2 linked regions of the Rhinolophus ferrumequinum genome follow. The protein of the gene in region 1 purifies or fractionates together with the protein of each later gene. This does not show direct contact. Links are inferred from orthologs where the notes say so. Each region holds a gene or a part of one and is shown on either strand. Other genes may lie near its edges.

Region 1 (10,506 bases):
TGAAATGCTGCCGTGAGAGGACTCAGACCTTGGACCAGGAGAACCAACAGCTGCGGGATCAGCTCCGGGAGGCCCAGCAGCAGGCCACGGCCCTGGGGGCAGAGCGCAGGACCCTGGAAGGGGAGTTGGCCCTGAAGCGGGCCCAGGCCGAGCAGGGCCAGCGGGAGCTGGGGAACCTGAGTGCCCGTGTCCTGGAGCTGGAAGAGTGGCTGGGCACGCAGGAGGGCTTGGTGCAAGAGCTCCAGAAAGAACAGTTGGAACTTCAGGAAGAGCGGCGGGGACTGGTCATCCGGCTGGAGGAGCAGGAGGTAAGGGCCAGCCTCTCACCAAATGCTGACTCTCCTTTCCAGGTTTGGGCTTAGGATCAATCCTTGACCACCCCTGCGCTCTGCGTTGTACCCCAGCCCTGTCCTGACTCTGTCTTCGGAGCTCCCCCAGATGTGTGTCTCCCATACTCCTCTATGCCCCTCTTTCTGGCTGTCTTTCTTGATCAGAACCCCCTGCATTCTTTCTTCCTCTTATGTCCACTCGACTCCTTGGTGAGCACCAACTAGATTGAATTACTTGCAGTCTCTCAAACGATTCAGTTCTCGCTTCAGGGCATTTTGCTTCAGGACATGCGCTTCCTTCCCTCTTTGTGGAATGTTCTCTCTATAGTCCATGCTTCCCTTGGTTCACTCCTATACTATTGTGTGTCAGCCTAGTTATCTTCCTTGTGAGCCGTCTGGACATGCCCAGAGCACTCCGTATTCTAATACCAGGATTCCGGTTTTCTTACCTTATTTTTACCAGACTGGGAAGTCCTTGGAGGCAGGGACTACCCTTCCTCCACCCCTCGCCCCATCATGACTTGCTCTTATTCTTGGTTGTATCTTGCCATCTCTGTCTGTTCCGTTCTGGGCAGAGGAGGCTGCAGGCATCAGAAGCAGCACTGTCAGACAGCCAAGCGGAGGTGGCATCTCTGCGCCGGGAGACCGCAGCCCAGGCGGCCTCACTGGCTGAGCGGGGAGAGCGTCTCCATGGGCTAGAGATGGAGCGACGGCGACTCCACAACCAGCTACAGGAGCTCAAAGGCAACATCCGGGTGTTCTGCCGGGTCCGCCCTGTCCTTCTGGGGGAGCCCACCCCACCCCCTGGCTTCCTCCTGTTTCCCTCTGGCCCTGGTGGACCCTCTGATCCTCCAACCCACCTCAGCCTCTTCCGGTCTGATGAGCGGCGTGGGACCCTGAGTGGGATGCCAGCTGCTCCCACGCGCCATGACTTCTCCTTTGACCGGGTATTCCCACCAGGAAGTGGACAGGACGAAGTGTTTGAGGAGATTGCCATGCTTGTCCAGTCAGCCCTGGATGGCTACCCTGTATGCATCTTTGCCTATGGCCAGACGGGGAGCGGCAAGACCTTCACCATGGAGGGTGGGCCTGGGGGAGACCCCCAGGTGGAGGGGCTGATCCCGCGGGCCCTGCGGCACCTGTTCTCTGTGGCCGGGGAGCTGAGTAGCCAGGGCTGGACCTACAGCTTTGTGGCGAGCTACGTAGAGATCTACAATGAGACTGTCCGAGACCTGCTGGCCACAGGGACCCGGAAGGGCCACGGGGGTGAATGTGAGATTCGCCGGGTAGGGCCAGGGAGCGAGGAGCTTGTTGTCACCAATGCCCGATATGTTCCTGTCTCCTGTGAGAAAGAGGTAAGCCCTGATGGGCACTGGGCTGGAAAATGGGGAGCAGTGGGTAGGGGGACAGAGATGGAGTGGAATGGAGAAGGGAGCAGTGAAAGGTGAAGGGTGAAGGAAAGGGGAGCTGTAAGGACTGGTTGCCACATTCAGTTTTGGCCGGTGGGCTGTGAGGTCCTTCTGCCTTAACAGAACCAGGGAGTGGGGAGGAGAGGCAGCTTGCGGGAGCAGGGGTGTCGCTGGCTCCCTGACCAGGGATCTCGGGTCTCGTTTCCTACTGCTCTCCTTGCTTCCCACACTAGCCACACTGGCCACCTGGCTCCTCAGCCCGCGGGTCACTCGTGTTTCAGGGCCTTTGCTCGCTGTCTCCTTTTGCCTGAATGTTCCTTTCCTGCAGTGGCTTGCTCCCTCATTGCCTTAAGATCCAGCCAGCCTGCCTAAACTTGCAGCCTCACGTTACTTACCCTCATGATACTCCTTATTTTTCTGTTTGATTTTACTCCTTAGTCCTTGCAGATATGTTGTATATTTTACTTATTTGTCTCTTCACCGCCTAGAAATAAAGCTCCAAGAGGGCGGTGCTGACCCCTGTGCATTGCCGTACCTGACACCACTGTGTACTGACCTCTGCCTGCCCTGCCCTGCCCTTCCCCATCCAGGTGGAGGCTCTGCTCCATCTGGCCCGCCAGAACCGGGCTGTGGCCCGCACAGCCCAGAACGAGCGCTCATCCCGCAGCCACAGTGTGTTCCAGCTGCAGATCTCTGGGGAGCACACTGGACGAGGCCTACAGTGTGGGGCCCGCCTCAATCTTGTGGACCTGGCTGGGAGCGAGCGTCTAGACCCCGGCTTAGCCCTTGGCCCTGGGGAGCGGGAGCGTCTTCGGGAAACACAGGCCATTAACAGCAGCCTGTCCACACTGGGGCTGGTCATCATGGCCTTGAGCAACAAGGTGGGAATGAGGCTGGGTCAGGTGGGGCCTGGAGCTGACCATGCTGAACCCGATCCTAGCCTAGTCACTTGTCCCTCTCAACCTGCTAGGAGTCCCATGTGCCATACCGGAACAGCAAGCTCACCTACCTGCTGCAGAACTCTCTGGGTGGCAGCGCCAAGATGTGAGTGGAAAGGGTCGGAACTGTGATGTTGGGGTGAGGGGTGGGAAAGGGGAAACGGGGTCCAGGCTCCACCAGCCACTAATGCAGGGTTTTGGCCCCCTTTCCTCTCTCCACAGGCTCATGTTTGTGAATATTTCCCCACTAGAAGAGAACGTCTCCGAGTCCCTCAACTCCCTACGCTTTGCCTCTAAGGTGCGGTTACCACCAAGCCCAGCCTCTGTCAGGACCCCTGGGTGACTGTGGGCTTCTCTGTCCCAAACCCTTCTGTCCTTTAGGCCAGGGGCACATTGATCCAGAAAGGATTTATGTTGGCCAGGCGTCTGGGGCACTACCCACCTAGATCCATTTTTTTTAAATTAGTTTCAGGTGTACAAAAGAATGCACTAGCCATTTCATCCCTCACAAAGTGATAACGCCCCCCCCCAATCTATTGCCCCTCTGACTGATATATTCCATTGACTCTATTCCCTATAGATCCATTTTTCACCTGTTGGCTTTTTAGGGATTTTTAAGATTTTAAAAAGAGGTGGTTAAAAGGTCAAAACTACATATAAAGCTATATACTACTCCTGTCCGCCCCATGCTCCCCACCTGTCATTTTTATCACTTATCATTTTATTCTTCGAATGTTTGCTTTTGCAAATACAAGCAATACACTTGTGCTTATTCCCCTCCTTCTTACATACGAGTAAAAGACATCTCTCTCCCTCTCTTAGATTTATGTTATTCTACACTTTATTTCGCCTAACAAGACAACCTGAAGATTACTCCCCACAGGCACACAGAAATCATCCCATTATTTTTATATTTGCCTAGGACTCCACTGTGGATACACTGACGTTTATCACCTCTATTAGGCACTTGGATTGTTTCCGCCCCTCTTCTGTTACAAACAAGGCCATGTTGACTAACCTTGTACATATGTCATTTTCTATTTGCTTACTTACATCTATCTATCTAGGGAAGGATTCTTTGAAATGGGATTGCTGGATCAAAGGAGATTTAGAGGTTTTTCCAAATAGTGTGAGTTCAGGCTCCAAACCCCACGAGGGTTAGCCATGGCCATGGCTATGAACTCTCTAGGAGACTTATGTTCCCTCCTCTAGAGCTGAGTCAGAAAGTTTCTTTACAGTCTGCCTCTGGAGGGAAATTTTTTCCCTGAGACTATACCCTGTGATGGGTTCTGGCTTTAGTAAGAGTCTCTGATCACGTGTGCCTTTCTGCCGCACTCAGGCTTCAGCCTGTGTTGTTGCCATGGAAGTAGTCAACCGCCTTCGCACCCTGACCTGGTCTTCTGCTTTAATCAGGATTTACCTTGCTATCTTGCAAGTTCAATTAAAGGTATATCAAATCGTTGACACCCAACAACTTGAACTCTTTAATATCCTCTAATACCCAGTTTATATTACATTTCACCTGATTGTCTCAGAAAATGTCTTTTATACTTTGGTTTGTTCTGATCAGGATCGAAGCAAGGGCTACTCATACTATTTGGTTGAAATGATCTCTTAAGTTTCTTTTCATCTATAACAACCCTGCCTTCTTTTATGGCATTTATTTGTTGAAGAAATTGGGTGATTTGTCCTATGGAATAACTATATCCTGGATTTGGGCTGGTTGCTGCCTTTTTCTTCCATAATTGTTGTTGTCTTAGGAGTTAGGTTTAGAGGCTTGATTAGATCTGAGTCAGGTTTAAATTTCTTAGCAAGAAAACTTACATGGGGTTGTACACGTTCTATTGCATCATAGCAGGAGGCACCTAATATCTAGTTGTTCCACTTTCAATGATATAAAAATTGATCGTTGGATTTGGGTATTGTCAGCCTGATCTATCCATTAAAAAACTCCCTATCAACTTTTTTACCTAGTGATTTGATCAAACAATGATCATACCTAGGTCTATTGTTTCATTGAGTTAAAATGGTGATGATGATGATGATTTTTATTTTTACTTTTTAAAAAGTTTTGGTTTTTTCCTATTTTTTCTTTTTTCTATTCTTTATTTTACTTTATTTAAAAATGATTTCCTGATTTTCTCAGTTCTACTTTAATTAGCCCAGATTCTTCTATAAAGTGCTTCCTATTGCCATCTATTTGATTACTCTAAAATTCAGTCCATATAGGAAAGTTGGGATAAATGTTGAATTCTTTATCAATTTTAAGTATACATTGATACTCTAGCAACTTCCAAAGGTAAACAGTGAGTTTTTATCAAGGGGTTATCTTTACAGATGCTTATGTATTTGATATGTGTCCTTGTCAGTTGTCATTCATTCTTTTTATGCTCAAATTACTCCATCTTTGTCCAGTGGGAGCTCTTTCAAATTGACTCTTGTGTCCCTTAGGTCCCCAGTAGTCTTTATTCTAGGTTCATCTTGTACATTGCCTGCCCTAGACTAGGAATCATTCATTTTCCAAGGAGCCTTGGTTCCTAAATGAGTGTTGGTATTGTTCTATCTAGTTTATTCAGCGCTAGTGATGGGAAGGATTTGGGGTCTCTAATCCACAGTATTGCTAGAAATGAAAGCTCCTTCTCTGTCTGCTCCTGTGTGGTGGGGCTCCCATCCCTTCTCAGGCCTTTTCACCACTTTCAGACCTAGTGTGCCTAGTGGACATAGAACCAACCATGGGGATTGGGAGGTTGATCTTGGGAAACCCAGCCTGTTGGTTACTCTGAAAATTTTTTTATCCTGTCTAACCCCCCTGCCCGCAGGTGAACCAGTGTGTTATTGGTACTGCCCAGGCCAACAGGAAATGAAAACAGATCCAGATCCTGGGGGTTGGGGGGTTGGGGCTGAGAGGGTGATTTGGGGGGGGAAGGGGGGGCACTGTGTTACCTGGACCTATTAAATAAAGAAAAGTTTTTTGGGTTTTTTTTCAAATAAAGGTTTTATTAGCAATTGCTCAAGAAAGGACATATTTTTCACATCTGTAAATATGGGGCTGTGGATCTGTCCACTCTGCCCAGCAATTTGTGTTTTGCAGTGCAAAAGCCTGCACTTTGCTTTTCTCCCTGACAAGCTGTACCCTGAGTGGCCTTCAGCTCCCATACTTTCCTGGTTGTCCACACCTACCATGTTTCCCGGAAAATGAGATCTAGCTGGACCATCAGCTCTAAGCCCTAATGCGTCTTTTGGAGCAAAAATTATAAGACTGGGTCTTATATTAATTTTTGCTCCAAAAGACACATTAGAACATTAGAGCTGATGGTCCGGCTAGGTCTTATTTTTGAGGAAACACGGTAAGAGGTGTGCCCACTAGCTATCCACAGCCACTAGTTGTTTCCCCGCTTGCCACAGGCCACCCTAGCTCCGGAAAGGTGGCCACCTGAACCCAAGGACGGGACTGACACACCCTCCCATTAACTGCTGGCTCTTTCCTCCCGCCCTTTCCCGGCCTTCGCGTTCGAACGGCCAGGCCTGGCCCTGCCCGCTGCCCATTGGCTGGCTCTCGGCGGCGTCACCGCCTGGGTTCTAGCCCTCCTTGGTCGGCGCCCCGGCCCTGGAAGTGCGGGGCGGGGCTCACGCCCGCCGAGACCGTCGCGCCAACAGCCAACGGCCGCCGCCCCAGAAAGGAGGGGCTCGGCCCTCCCAGGTGCCGCGCGCAGGAGGGGTCACGCGTGCGCAGAAGCTAGGGGGGACAACTTGCCACCTAGAGGGTGGGGCGGGGGCAAAGGCGGGAGAGGAGGGCGGGGCACTAGAGGGAGGTGGGCGCGGAGGGGGCATAGGGAAGGGTGAATGGAAGGCGGGGTCGTGAACTGGGGTCGGGGGCGGGACTTGGAGTGACCATGGAGGTTGGGGGGGCAGTTAACGGATGTGGCATGGGGCTGGGGCCAATCCGGAGGGCGGGCTGCCGGGAGGCGGGGGATTCCCTCCTGCCCCCTGGGCGGGTCTCCCTTCCGAAGAAGGGGCTTCGGGGATTCCCTTTCCCGCCAGGTCAGACTGTCCGCCCGCCCCACCAACGGAGAGGCCGCCGCTGGCTCGGCGCCCTCCAGGCCTGTTGGAGGTGAGGGAGGTGGGGTGAAGTAGTGCCCGTCCCCCCGCCCCCCGGCTCCTCCTTCCCCCCAGTCCTCCCCTCCCACCACCCTCCCCCCGAGCCAGTTTGTCCCTCCCCTCCCCTCCCCTCCTTCCCCCCGCCGCCTCCTCCTGCCGCTGCCGCTGCTTTGGCTGCTGCGTCATACGCCCCAGAGCCGCCGGGACGGAGGGGCTGGGCCTGGGGACCCCCCGGCCTCTGCCTGCACGCCCCCCGACGCCCAGACGTGCCCTCCCGGCGCGGGGGGTTCGCCTCGGTCTCCCACGTCTGCCTCTGCCCAGCTCCCGGCGTCCCCAGCTGTCACTGGTAAGGAGGCGGCGGGAGGCGCTCGTGGTGGGGGGGGAGCAGGGAGCCGGGGGTCGGCGCGCAGGGCGCCAGCGGGAGAGCCTCGTCGCCCTGGCATCGGGTCCGGCTGGGCCGACTGAAGTCCCCTGTTGGACTCGCGGTCGTGGGTAATAGAGACTGGGACTGGGACACGCCCCCCTCCCGGGGCACTCAGGGAAGTTATCTAACCCGAGGGCAGGGAGCCCCGAATTTGAGGGCGACCTGACATAACCTGACATCAGGATAATTGTTCTGAATGAGACACGCGGGCCCAGGGAGGCAGCTGTTTCTACTCTGGAAAACATCGCTGGAAAAGCTCCCAAAATACATCTCTGGGTAACAGAGCACCCCAATTATGATACCTCTAAACAGCAGGAGAAGGTGACAGTAGAAACTGAGTGGTAACCTTTGCTTCTGCAACCATTGTTTCTGCTAAAATCTCAAGGCCAGGATATAATATCCCAGGGGAGGTCTGGAAGCTGGGAAACTAGAGAACTAGGTTGGGGGTGGGGGGGGCCGTTAGGGAGAGGAGAGGCAGTCACCAGAGTTGGGAGAGCTGGAGTCAAGAAGCTTGGGAGGGGTGCTGATTGGTTTCCTATCCAGGTGTCTCAGGGATTTGGAGACTGGTGGGGGGGGGGGGTGTGCAGCTGCTTCAGTCCTTGACAGAAAAATAGGCAAATAAGGAAGGTTTCTTGGCTTTCATAACCTTCTCCTCCCATTCCACTTCTGGCTAGGCCCCCCCCAGGATGCAATGGCACAGCCTCCCCGGCTGAGCCGCTCTGGTGCCCCCCCACTTTGGGACCCAGCTTCCCCTGCTCCCACCTCAGGCCCCAGGCCTCGACTTTGGGAGGGTCAAGATGTGCTGGCCAGATGGACAGATGGGCTGTTATACTTGGGGACCATCAAGAAGGTAAGACCCTTCTGACCTGTCACCTCTCCCCATTCCCCTTATCTAATGCTGATTCCCATTTCATCCTCTATGCTCACCCATTCCAGGTGGACAGTGCTCGGGAGGTGTGTCTGGTCCAGTTTGAGGATGATTCCCAGTTTCTGGTTCTATGGAAAGACATTAGCCCTGGTGAGATCTTAGAGGCCTGGGAGTGGCTTCCCATGGAAGACAGAAACCTGGCTTGGGGGAGAGAAGGGGACCTAAGGACAGGTTCCTTGACACTGTGTTCCCTCATAGCTGCCCTCCCCGGGGAGGAATTCCTTTGCTGTGTCTGTCGCTCTGAGACTGTGGTCCCTGGGAACCGGCTGGTCAGCTGTGAGAAGTGTCGCCACGGTGAGAGGGCAGGACACCTGAGTGGTCCAGCTTGCCCTAGGCCCTCTGGGCGGTCTCTGACCCTTCCCACCAGGACTGGTCCTATGCCACCTATTCTGGCCTCCGTCCCCAAGCTACTGCTCTGGCCAGTCTCCTTGAACCTATAGTCTCACTCCCTTCCAACATAGGAAAAGGCAGCCATGGAATGGGGCTGTGTGAGCTTTGCAGGCAGAGGGTGGTTCAAATACTCCCTTTTCAAACCATAGGACTTTGGGCAAGTCCCTAAACCTTTAGGAGCCTCAGTTTTCTCACCTGTAAAATAAGGGTAATACCCCTCCCCCTCCCCAGGACCATGGTCAAGGATTAATGAGATAAGATTCTTCCTATCCTGATACCTAGCACACGCAGGTTTGCAATGCAATAAATGCTCTACCATCGATAATATCATTCTTCAGCTTATCACCAGGACTGCCATGTTCCAAGGGCCCCAGCCCCAGGAGAGGGAGAGGGCACATCCTGGGTCTGCCGCCAGTGCATCTTTGCCATCGCCACCAAGGTAAAGGCATCTTCCTGTGGGAGCCTCCCACCCACAGCCTCTCCCGAGTCTTTCTCTCCCCACCCCTCTGAAGCAGCCTGCCGGTTCTCTCTCTGCAGAGGGGGGGTGCACTGAAGAAGGGCCCCTATGCCCGAGCCATGCTGGGCATGAAGCTATCTCTGCCATATGGACTGAAGGGGCTGGACTGGGATGCTGGACATCTGAGCAACCGGCAGCAGAGCTACTGTTACTGTGGTGGTCCTGGGGAGTGAGTAATGAGGGGGCGGGGTTAATGAATGAGTGACAGTGTGGTGGTGGGGGAACCCCAGGGAATGGAGAAAGAATGGTGAGGGGAGTGCTGAAGGGGGTGGGAGTAGGTGGTGAGCAGGGTTGGGGCAGTTAAGGAGGGAGTGTCTAGAGGTCACCAGTCCCGTGTCCCCTTCAGGTGGAACCTGAAAATGCTGCAGTGCCAGAGCTGCTTGCAGTGGTTCCATGAGGCCTGCACCCAGTGTCTGAGCAAGCCTCTCCTCTATGGGGACAGGTGAGACCAGGGCACTCTCCAGGAGCCCAGGGGGCCCTCTTGTTCTCCCCACCCTCTCAGTTCCCCCACACCCGCCTGCCCCAGATCCATTCTCTTCCCAACCTCTGGAGTGTTTCTCACTGATTCGCCCATCCTTGGGTGCTTGTGAGTCCTCCAGAGCATGGTATAGTTTTCCTGTCTAAGGTATGTCCTCTCCTTGCTCACATCCAGGTTCTACGAGTTTGAATGCTGTGTGTGTCGGGGGGGCCCTGAGAAGGTCAGGAGGCTACAGCTTCGCTGGTGAGCTGGATTGGGCATGGCCTGTGTAACTCCTCTCTCAACACCCTGTTTTTCACCCTACCTGCCCCAGCCTCCCACTCGGGACTCCCCTGGCTTTTGTAATGCTTCCACAACCTTGACACCTCAGTGTTTCTCCAGGGTGGATGTGGCCCATCTTGTCCTCTATCACCTCAGCGTTTGCTGTAAGAAAAAATACTTTGATTTTGACCGTGAGATCCTCCCCTTCACCTCTGAGAATTGGGACAGTTTGCTCCTTGGGGAGGTAAGGAAGAGTGAAGGTTTGGGTGTTAAGGTGGAACAGGGAGATGTGAAAAAAAGGGAGAGGGAAGAATCAAGCTCCCTTGAGCCCATTTTCCCTCCCTTCCCCCAGCTCTCAGACACCCCCAAGGGAGAACGTTCTTCCAAGCTCCTGTCTGCACTCAACAGCCACAAGGACCGGTAAGTTGAGGAGAGGCTCAGAAAGAGATGGAGGTGTGGAAATGGAAGCCTGGGAGGGGAGGCACTGCAACTCAGCTGGAAGGTCATCCCTGGAAAGGGCTGAGTAGTGGCGGAAGAGTGATGGCAGCACTGACCCTGGATCATTTTTCTTCTCACCCCAGCTTCATTTCAGGGAGGGAGATTAAGAAGAGGAAATGCTTGTTTGGCCTCCATGCTCGGATCCCTCCTCCTGTGGAGCCCCCTACTGGAGATGGAGCTCCCACCAGGTCACTGGTCCAGGGGGGATGGGGAAATTCTCAGGGTATTAATCGGGG
Region 2 (10,628 bases), on another chromosome or scaffold:
TATTCTTTTCACGGAACGAACGAGAATGGCCTATTTATTACAAAATAAATTATCTGATTGCTTTTTAAATTCAAATAATCTTTTTTTTTTCCCTCAACCCAAAAGTCATACATGCTTATTACCAAAAATACAGAGAGGCAGAAAGAAAGAAATAAGGAATATACTCAGGTCTACCCATCCAGAGATAAATATGTTGACAACTCACTATAAAGCCGTATGGTACAGAGCTGAGAACTGTGTGCATTCAAACTAAGCTCCACCGCTTACCACCTCTGTGACTTTGAACTAGTAATTTAATGTCTCTATCTCAGCTTTCTCATCTGTAAAATAGAGGTGCGAGGATGTCATGAAGATTAAGTTAGATAAATTGCTCAATGTGCTTAGCATAGAGACTTCAATGAATGTTAACTCTTAGTTCAACTTTCCAGATCCTTTTTTATTAGTGTTTTTCAAATAGGGCATTGCTGGTTTTGATCTACATTTGAAAAGTCTCCGAGAATCTCAGAAAATAATCATGTAATCAAAATACATTATTTGCATACTTTAAAAAACAAACCTGTACAAGAGGAAAATAGTGGATAATATTATTATTCCTAAAATTAAGACTGGTGATTTTAAAACAAGAGCAATGTTTCATTTCAAAAACCAAAATAAATTTATCATTCAACAATTTTTCATGCACGAATAAATGTCTTAAGCTCTTCCACATGTATTGTTTCATTTAATGCTCACACAAACCTCTTCTGGAAGAACAAGACATTGGAATTGTGGACAAAAAGGGAGTGGATCCTCTGTTTGGCTCAAAGAAATTTTCATAAAAATTGTTTATTGTTAAGTCTAAAATAAGTTTTGAAGGATGGGGGAGGAGGGAGGATTCCAGGAGCACCCACAGAAGCACAGAGGAGTAAAACAAAATTCTCAGGAGGTTTGGACATTCTTATGTAGATATTATAGAATTGTCTCCATTAAAAAAACAACAACAAAACTCTTTTCTTAGGTTAATGATAGTCATTGTCATTTGCATTTATCCTTGAAGACCATATTTGGATTTGGGAAAAAGTAAAATTACATCAAGTCTATTTACTCAACACTAAAAGTTAAAAATTTCACCTGTTTCTATTTTCCCTATCTTAGATAATTATCTAGAAATTTGGTCCAGCTATAAACCCAAGTGATCCTATGACTCTCTCGCTTCAACCCTCACATACCATGTCTTGTTGATATTATTTCTGAAATACCTCTAGAAACAACCCCTTACTTTCCATCTTTGTTGGCACTGCCTTGGTTCAGATCTGCGATGTCGCAACAGCTTTGAAACTCATCTCGCTGTCTCCAGTCTTACGCCCTGCTGTCTACCAAAGGAAAAACTCTTCTTTGGCCACCCATTACTTACAGACCAATGACATAAGGCTTTTCACGATCCATTCCCTTTCAGATTAGTAAGACACCTATTTACAAATCATATGCCAAAGTACTAAAGTTATGCCGTGGAATATACGTCTCCAATGACTAAAGTAACAAATGTCCACTCTTTAGCACACTTCCTTCCTATTACCAAGGAAACAAGAAAAGTTAACTAGCAATCAGAAGGCAGTTCTTGGTAAGCAAAGGCATTCCATAGTCGTAAAGGGAGATTTTATTGACTGAAATCTACCATAGATTTCCATAAACTTTCCTTAATCCACAATAGAGTGTACTTTTTCTAGTGTTTGTAAAACAGCATTTGCCTCCACTGGATTGTCTCTGCCTCTCAGATTCTACTAGGGAAACACTGACCAACCCCTATGTCAAAACTTATCAAACTGTATACTTAGGACCTGTTCGTTTCACTATTATAAATGAAATTCCAACAAAAAATTGAAATAGAATAAATGCCATTCTAATTCCTTCTGTGTTTTATCTAATTCTTTCTGTGCAAGAGATATATTTTTACATCGTAATCTTAAGATGGTCTACAAGGTCCTGCATGATCTGACCTCTACTTTTCTAGCATTACCTGTTACCAAGCTCCTGTCGCTTTTTCAGTCCTTTACCAGCACTAACCTTTCAGTTTCCCAGTGGCATATATTCCTAGCCTGTCCCAGAGCCTTTGCACGTGCTGTTACCACTCCCTGGAATGTTTCTCTTTCTCTTCCCTTCCACCTGGTTAACTCCCATTCTTCTTTTAGTTCTAATTCTTCTGTCTGTTCCTCAGGGAAACCCTCCCAAATCTCACTTGATTATGTGTCCACGAAACTGTTTGTAGGGCTGCTATGTATGCTTGTGTAAATTGTTCATCTAAACAAGGGTTCCTAGCTGAGGTGATAACGGCTGAAATCCAGCTTGTGCTATACACACAAAGCCTTGCACAGGAGCAGGCCTGTGCCAACCCAGAAGGGCTGCCTTTTTCTAATTCATCAAAGGCATTGTCTGCGTGCCACACACTGCCTACTCTGGATTGTTTCTATGGGGCACCTTTTAAAAAATAGTACAAAGATACAATGTTGGCAAGCAGCAGCCTGACCTTGTACTTCCCCATCATATTATAGTACTCACCACAGTTGTAATTGTGTATTTATTTGTGCGAACATTTGGTTAATGTTTGTTTCCCCCAGTGAACAGTAACCTATGAGTATAGGACAATAGGAAACTGTCTGATTTTGCTTATTATCAAGGATTCCCAGCACCTAGAACAGTGCCTGGCACATAGTGGGTACTCAGTAAACATTTATTAAATGCATGAGGCATTTGTAGTGCAGGAAGAATATTAGGTTTTTTGAAGGTACTAGAGACTGTGTCTAATTTTCCCTTTTTATCTCCTCCCTTCCCCTGCAATTACCATACTGCTTTGCACATAAATGACATTCAGTAAATTCCTTCTGATTGATTTTAAAATGTTCAAAGAAGCCATATGATGTTCTGTTCATATGCTCGCAGATCCATAGAAAACTGGATCTGTGAGCATATGATTACACACTGCATGAGTGATGATGAACAGCTGCTATGAAGCTGAAAAGACAAAAAAATGTTGAGTGAATGAGAAATAGACTTCAACTGAAATGGGAAGGATTTAGTTTAGCTTTTGAAACTCATTTCCTGATATGAAGCTTAAAAGATACTAGAAGACAATACCGAGGCTGTGAATTTTCTTTTTCTTTATAAATAATTGATCTTTGAAAATTTTCCAAGGTAGAACAACCATTTATTTAAAGGCAAAAAGGCATTTCTGACTAGAGGTCTCAGCAGTCTAATATTAGATCCACTTAAAAAAAAAAAAAAAGAACTAAAGAGGTTTTTTTGGGGGGGAGGGATACTTTTACAGAAAAGTTGCAAAGATAGTAGAGCGTTCTGTATACCCCTCATCCAGTTTCCCTCACTGTTAACATCTTACATTGTCATGGTACATTTGTTAAAATTAAGAAATTGAAATATATACGTAACTATTCACTAAGCTGCAGACTTTATTTAGATTTCCCCAGTTTCTCCAGTTATTTCCTCTCTGTCCCAAGCAAGACAGTTTTTATATGTCCTTCGATAGTGTATGAAAGATTACATGGTCTAAAGATCAAGCTCTGAGAAAAGAATTACATAAACCTAGAGATGACTGGGTCCATCTTGAGGCAAAAGTACTTTGGTTTTTCAATCAGTCATGCTTAAATAAGATCCCTAGCTATTTTGAAGAGAGCTGTGTTTGGGGGCTAATTGGTTGATTTCACTAAGCCACAGTTCACACATTTGTGAAATGTGGGTAGTAATACCTCTCCACCTATGATGGCTCCCGAAATCCTTTACAGTAGGAGAATTCAGTGTTAAAAATTTACAGTTTTTTAATAGGTAATTAAGCTTTTGTGTTTATTAAATTAATACCATAAAGATAGCATGCTGAATAGGAAACCTGCGGTATTTTACATATGTGAAATTAGTAACAAAGACTCTCTCCTTGAACAAACTTTGGTCAGGCTCCTCTGAGTTCTCCTCTCAACTAGGCATTGCGCCTGAGTCTTTGCCTGCCTAGTCCAGATGTAGTAAGAATTCTGCTAAGTCAGTTGAAAGAATCTTTCCCTCTTGTTATCTGATCACCCTTGATAACTGATCAAATTCCTCATCCCTCACCCTCGATGTATCTGATCACCCTGGCAAGTTGCTTTAGGAAGAAGCCCCCTCTCCTTGATGTCTCCTCTAGTAAGTTTCCACCCACCAATCCCTGTAGGGGAGGAAAGTTTCCCTTTACCCCCCGAGGTTTGATAGCTGGATCTATGAAATAAACTGACAACAGGCAGGTTACCAGGAGGAAAGGTATACAAATTTATTAATTTTTAATATTGCATGTGCAAGAGCATCACAGGGGGAAAAAGTGGATAGCCAAAAAAAAAAAAAAGCAGTGAGATTTGAGAGCTCATACCATCAAAGTAGGGGAAAGCAAGGGATGTATACCACGTAAGGGAGAGTAAATGACAGTTTGGAAAGATAAATGGGCCCTTAGATGAATGGGTGTGGTATGGACTTCTAATCTCTTCTGTGATAAGAGTCAATTTTCCCTGTTTGATGAAACTCCTGGGGAGGGGATTTATGACAGTTGAGTTCCTTTTGGAGGGTCTGTCTTTAGGCAGATAAGGGGAGTTCAGAGCATACTTGTTTCTCAAGTACCTTCAGTTCAAAATAATCAATATACCAAGCAGCATATTGTGGTGGCACATTCTGAACTCCTTCATCCCCGACTCTGCTCCTGGATTAAAAAACCCTCGCCTTTCTGTATTCAGAGTTGAGCCCTATCTCTCTCTCTCTCACTGCAATAGTCTTGACACTTATTACAATAATCCCTGGTAAAATTCCTTGCTGTTTTAATAAGTGTCAATCTTTTTTTTAACATTAGTAATAATGAATATTAACTGATTTCCATTTATGATCCCTGACTCATCAGAAAAATTTAAAAATATCCCTCCAAGTTTTAATAACAATAGTTAAAAATATTTTTGCTTTGCTACCCATAACATGCTTGCTGAAAGGCATTATCCTTCCATATGTGTCTTTTACCCAAATATTCAGCACTTTTCTAACTTTATTACTAAAAGTTGTTTCCTACTTCCCAGCTCCCACTGATGTCACACATTTTAATTTGGTTTGGAAATGCTTTAGTTGATTATCCTTTATTTGTAGAGATATATTCACAAACATTCTTCTCAACAGACAAGGGGAGTATGTTTCTCTGCTGTTTCTCTGCATGAAAATGTCATACAAAGGCACATTTTACTTTCTCAAAATTAAGAAACCATACCATACCGTACGAGTCTGACACCATACCAGTCAGTCTCTCTCACCAACTGAGGAGTGCTTAGCAGTGCCTGGCACATTAGAAGAGTTCAACAAATTACTGCAATTAACATTACTAAGACTTGAACTTTCATTTGTTTTAGCTTCCTTGTTTTTCTTGAGTCTTCATTGAAAAAACCTCTTAATCTGCCCTGCCTTTGCTTTACCTTCCTTTTCTCATTCTTAACTGAGTTCTCTTAGCTCCAAAAGGAAGAGTACCTTGCAATCTGCAGATATTTTCTCTATTAAGGCATCATGCAGAAGTAATTCAGTACCCTAGAATTTTATGGCTGGGGTACTCTATACTGGTTATCCTTTGGGCGATGTAATGAGGTTTAAAAGAGAAAAATATATATCCAACTGGGTACCTCCAGGAGGTCACTCCCAGGGGCTCTGTCCAAGTGGTGTAGGGGAACATAGGGCTCTGCCCCATGATGTACAGTCCCTTTCCACAACGTTGGAGATAAAGCTGAGCCTTGAGTCTGCGCCTGCATATTCCTACAGCTTCTCAGAGTCCTGTGGACAATGACTGAAGAGACAAACCATGCGGGAAACACCTCGCATTTAAAAATAAATAAATAAATAAATAGATAGATAAATAGGTAAATAAAATTTTAAGAAAGAAAAAATATAATATCAAGTAGGTGCTCAAGAAATGTTAGGTCCCTTCCTGTCTTCTCATTTTTACAGATGAGGGCAAAGAGGCCCCCCAAAATAGTCACAACCAAATTATAAAAAAAGGGAGAGGGGTTCTTATTTGTCATTCTCCTTTTTCTGCTGTTCATTCGGTTTTGTGGCTTAATGACCCATCTAACAAATCCACCGAGGCTCACCAATGTATTTGGCATCTGTCAAGCGCCTAGACATGGTAACATTTAAAGATAAACTTTTTTGGTGAATAGTTTCCTTGCCTACTTCTAAAATTTTATCGTATCTGGTGCGCCAAAAAATATTGTCCATCGTTTAACAGTCTCATACATAGTTGGAGATAACCATTGATTTTTAGGCCTGGGCCTTGTTCAAGGCCTTGATAATCCTGTGTAACAGTTAAAAAGAGCACTTTGGGCTGTAACTCATTGGAGTCTAGAATGTAATTTTTGGATATTCCTACTTAAACCTTACTCAATGTTGGCACCAACTGGGTGAGGGCAATCATTCATCGCAATACATATTCATCAGAATAAATATTCATCAAGAGTTTAGGATGCGTCCATAGACTATGATTTGGTAGCGCTTTGAAATCCACCCTAGGCTACGGAAACCCGGTGGAAGACTACCTGGTTCAGTAAGACTTCCAAGAGGAGGGGCTTGACGGAGGCGGGTTCGGGCAACCCAGCGCGAGAATACGCCCCGGCGCATGCGCACATCTTAGCGGGTAACTTCCATTTGCTTGGCGGGGGAGGCACATGAGAAGCAGTCTATAGTTTTTGAATTTCTATTCTTAACAAAAAATTAGATAGTAAACAATACCATGAATAATGTGAGAGCGTTATCCTCCGAGTTCAAAATTAAGGACACTTGACATACACCGTTAAAGCAAGAGGTGATTTCTCATATCTTCCCCGTCCCCTGGGACATTGGTGGTCTAGTCCATTCCACAGACTTTCGAGTCCTTGCAGCGGGTCGGGGATCGAAGGATTGGGCCAATTGCGGCTGAAACGTCTTTGGAAGGAGGAAGGGGGTGAGGGGACATCCCTTTGAGTTCCACCTCTCCTTTTTCGAGGCGGTAGTGGGGAAGGGGGACCTACTAAATACTGCCCTCGAAAGCCAACGGGTCACACCTCTCCCTGCAAACTGCCGGGAGGGCGGCGGGAAAAGGGCAAGACGGGAATAGGGAGAGGGAAGCAGCCAGGAAGCCGCGTGGGAGGGCGCGCGAGCGCGCGCCCCTTTTTCAGCAGTGTGGCGGGGTCGCACGCACGCCCGCCTCGGCGGCTGGGCGCGGTTTGCGACAGTGGGGGGAGCGGTGGAGGTGGCGGCGGCAGTGGCAACTTTGCGGCAAGCTCCGGCCGGGCTTGCTTGACGGCGGTGTGGCGGAGGCCCCGCCCCAGGCGGCAGGAACCTGGAGGGAGGCGGAGGAATATGTCCGAGAGGGAAGTGTCGACAGCCCCGGCGGGAACAGACATGCCTGCGGCCAAGAAGCAGAAGCTGAGTAGCGACGAGAACAGCAACCCGGACCTCTCTGGGGATGAGAATGTGAGTAGAGCCCTGAGCAGTCCGGATGGGACTCTGGAGTGAAAGTTTTAAATTCTTTTTAAACTGTAGAAGCGGGGGCGGGCGGCTGTGGGGGGAGGGAGAGGTGTCACCCTCTACTCAGGAAAACGCGGGCGTGGAGGAGAAAATCGAACTTGTTTCTGTGGGGGTTTGAGTTGGGGCCGAAAGCAAGAAGAAACTTGGCGGAAAGATCCTTTTGCGTGGGTGGGGAGTGTTTGGGCCTTTGGGGGATTTGGGGAGAGTGCGGAGCTGAGATTCCAGTAGTTTAAAAGGCAACTTAGAGGTTTTCTGAGAAAGTTAGAAGGAAAGGCCAGGGTATGTTACGGACTCTTTTACAGGAATTCAGGGACCATGTCACTCCTAGACCCTTGCAGACAGCTGATGGGAAGAGGAGATCTTAAGGAGTTTCGGTGATTATTGTAAAGGGGGTTTTGTGTCTGCTACCATCCTGTCCGTGGAGGTTAGTCGGCTGTTTTAAGGAGGAGCAGAGTTGAGAGGGTCGTCTTCTGACTTTGAGGGGGAAACCCTCCTTGAGGAAGGAAGGAGAAGGGACGGTTAGCCTTTTGAAAGAGTTTACAAAGATAAAGGGGACAAACTGGAAGATTTTAGGCAACGGTGGTGAAGGGACATGTCTTTAGGTGTGGGCTCGTGGATTTTTAAAAAAGAACTCTGGTAATCATCTAGTCCCAATTGTGTTTAGGTGAGACGCAGGTAATAAACGAATTGACATTAATTGTCAGTTTCATTCATGTTTTAAGTTTATATCCAATAAAGTCAGCAAAATGTCTTGACAGTTTATTCAGAGATGTTAATTACTCCAAAATGTGAACCCCTTTTCATGATACATGTCTGAGTGTCGATTTAAAATCTTTAAAGTGTTATAGGAGGGTGGTGTTAAGTTCTTCATTTTCTCAGTTTGGCTAGTTTTAGGAATAGATGTAACTAACCTCTTACCCAGTTTTTAAATTCTGCATCTCAATTACATCACTTGTTGAAGCATATGTGGCATGGTGTCATGACCAGAATTTTCACTGAAGACGTGGAAAAGAATTCTTTTTGTAAATAGAAGAAAGATATTTAGGAAATTGTCAGTTTGTGGGATTTGGACTTGAAATTTCTGGAAATCTTAGGCATTGCATGTTAAATTTTGTTTGTTTTTCCCAATTTTATATATGTATATAAAAAATAGCATTTTTTATGCCTTTCATTCCAGTCCTTGGAGCCTGTTTTATTTCTGCCTTTTTTAGGCAATTAGGTTAGTAATTAGGAGCACACACTGGATCCAAATGTTAAATTAAAATCTTAACTCGGCTACTTACTGGTTGCTTGACCTTGAGCAAGGTACTTGAGCTAGTTCCCTCAGTTTCTTAAAAATGGAGGTAATATGTTTACCTCGTGGAGTATTTGTGAGGATTAAATGAAGTTAGTATAGGTAAAGTGCTTAAAAGAATGCCTGTCTCATAATAAGTTTATAGAAGTGTTATTTAATTACTATTAGTTATTTTGTGATCACAAAGTGTAGACTTCCACATAACAAACGATCAGGCAGAAATGTAATTAAGAAAGTCAGACTGAGGAAGATTTCCAAGGACCAAATAAATTGAAAGTTTACTTTCTTTACAGCTTAATGAATACTGTGAAGCCTTCTCAGAATAACATTTTTTAAGTGTATAAAGTATATGAGGTTACATACAAAATCAGTGATAAAATTTTAAAATATGTTATAAAAATATTTTAAAAACAAATTTAAGATTTGTTTTAATTGAACTACTTTAATATAAAGTGTTTAAAGTGCTTCTTTAGCACATTAAGTAACTAGATCTAGCGGCACGTCTGATAGTAAGGGGGATACATAATATTTGAGGTCTGCAACAGCTATATGATATAAAAATACCTGGTTTCCATTGGTAAGAAAGTCACAGCTACAATAACATTAGTACGTATGTTACCTCCATTACAGTAGAAAGTGCTGAATTTCAGATAAAGGTGGTGAAAATTAAAATGCCTTTTGTTTTCTTTTGGATCATTTCAATTCACAGGCCCTAGGAATTTATCTAAGGATCACACAGATATTGGACACAGGTTAAGGGAAGGGAATAGAGAATGCTGTATAAAAATGACTTTAGGGGCGGCCGCGGGGCGGCAGGTTAGCTCAGTTGGTTAGAGCTCGGTGCTCTTAACAACAGGTTGCTGGTTCGATTCCCACGTGGGCCACTGTGCGCTGCGCCCTCCACAACTAGATTGAAACAACTACTTGACTTGGAGCTGATGGGTCCTGGAAAAACACACTTAAAATAAATAAAAGTTAAAAAAAAAATGACTTCAGAAAAAGCAAACAATGGCAGTGGTTTTACTCTTGAGGGAGCTGAATGATGACAAGAAGACCAAAAGCAAGTGGGGAAAGGATGTGGTGTTTTTGAGTTGGAGGTAAGGTAACCTGAGTAGTTGCTACTTTAAGTGAATCAGGATTAAAAGGACATTTGTTTTTTTGAGGTGTAATTGGCATATAACATTAATTTTGGGTGTACAGCATAATGATTTGATATTTGTATACCTTGTGAAATGACCACCACAATAAGTCTAGTTAACATTCAATATGTTTATTATATATGTATCTGCCATTTTATTGAACTTTTTAAAGATCGTATGACTACAGAGTAGTTAGTTCAAGAGAACTAATGGTTGCCTGGTGGTATCAGAGGGCTAAATTTGGAGACTTGTCTTTTGCTTAAGTAATCTGTGGCAAGATTAAGGGACAAATTACTTCGTTTCCTTGTTGGGCAAATGAAGATGATAGTGCCATATCTGTTGCACAGTGTCATTTTATACGTTCAGGAGGGGCCAAGGTGAAAATCAGCCTGTATACATACTAGACACTCAACAAAGGTTTGATTTTAATTTAAAGATAAAATGAAATGGTTGTGAATACATTGCATTTCCATTTGATTCCATCTTGATATGCCTTTGGAGAAGATGGGTAAATTAAGCGCTCAAAAATAAAGGAAGAAAAGAAATGCAACGTGCCTTGTTATAGACAGTGTTTTGTTTGGCTTCTTGATTAGCAGTTGAGTTTAGCCAGAAAGTAAAGAAGCTGCTGGGGGGGCGGGGGCGGGTGAAGGGATTGAAGG

Evidence for each region. Proteins that work in one complex are often made in the same cells at the same time.
Region 2: the proteins of PHF1 (region 1) and EED purify together in Homo sapiens (affinity purification with mass spectrometry; 8 studies listed by BioGRID and IntAct, with this or other methods). This does not show direct contact. The link is inferred for Rhinolophus ferrumequinum from reciprocal best matches to the Homo sapiens genes PHF1 and EED.

What each region holds. Positions count from the first base shown.
Region 1 is NC_046286.1:3,719,381-3,729,886, forward strand, and holds the start of PHF1 (PHD finger protein 1), read left to right. Parts: upstream 1-6,500; 5' UTR 6,501-7,120; intron 7,121-7,872; 5' UTR 7,873-7,889; coding exon 7,890-8,048; intron 8,049-8,134; coding exon 8,135-8,216; intron 8,217-8,324; coding exon 8,325-8,420; intron 8,421-8,854; coding exon 8,855-8,955; intron 8,956-9,053; coding exon 9,054-9,202; intron 9,203-9,379; coding exon 9,380-9,475; intron 9,476-9,685; coding exon 9,686-9,754; intron 9,755-9,892; coding exon 9,893-10,016; intron 10,017-10,124; coding exon 10,125-10,192; intron 10,193-10,353; coding exon 10,354-10,458; intron 10,459-10,506. Other genes in the region: kinesin-like protein KIFC1, read left to right, coding at 1-308, 905-1,684, 2,329-2,619, 2,709-2,782, 2,899-2,974, 5,496-5,540. UniProt on the Homo sapiens protein: Polycomb group (PcG) that specifically binds histone H3 trimethylated at 'Lys-36' (H3K36me3) and recruits the PRC2 complex. Involved in DNA damage response and is recruited at double-strand breaks (DSBs).
Region 2 is NC_046294.1:59,082,891-59,093,518, forward strand, and holds the start of EED (polycomb protein EED), read left to right. Parts: upstream 1-6,520; 5' UTR 6,521-7,368; coding exon 7,369-7,482; intron 7,483-10,628. UniProt on the Homo sapiens protein: Polycomb group (PcG) protein. Component of the PRC2/EED-EZH2 complex, which methylates 'Lys-9' and 'Lys-27' of histone H3, leading to transcriptional repression of the affected target gene.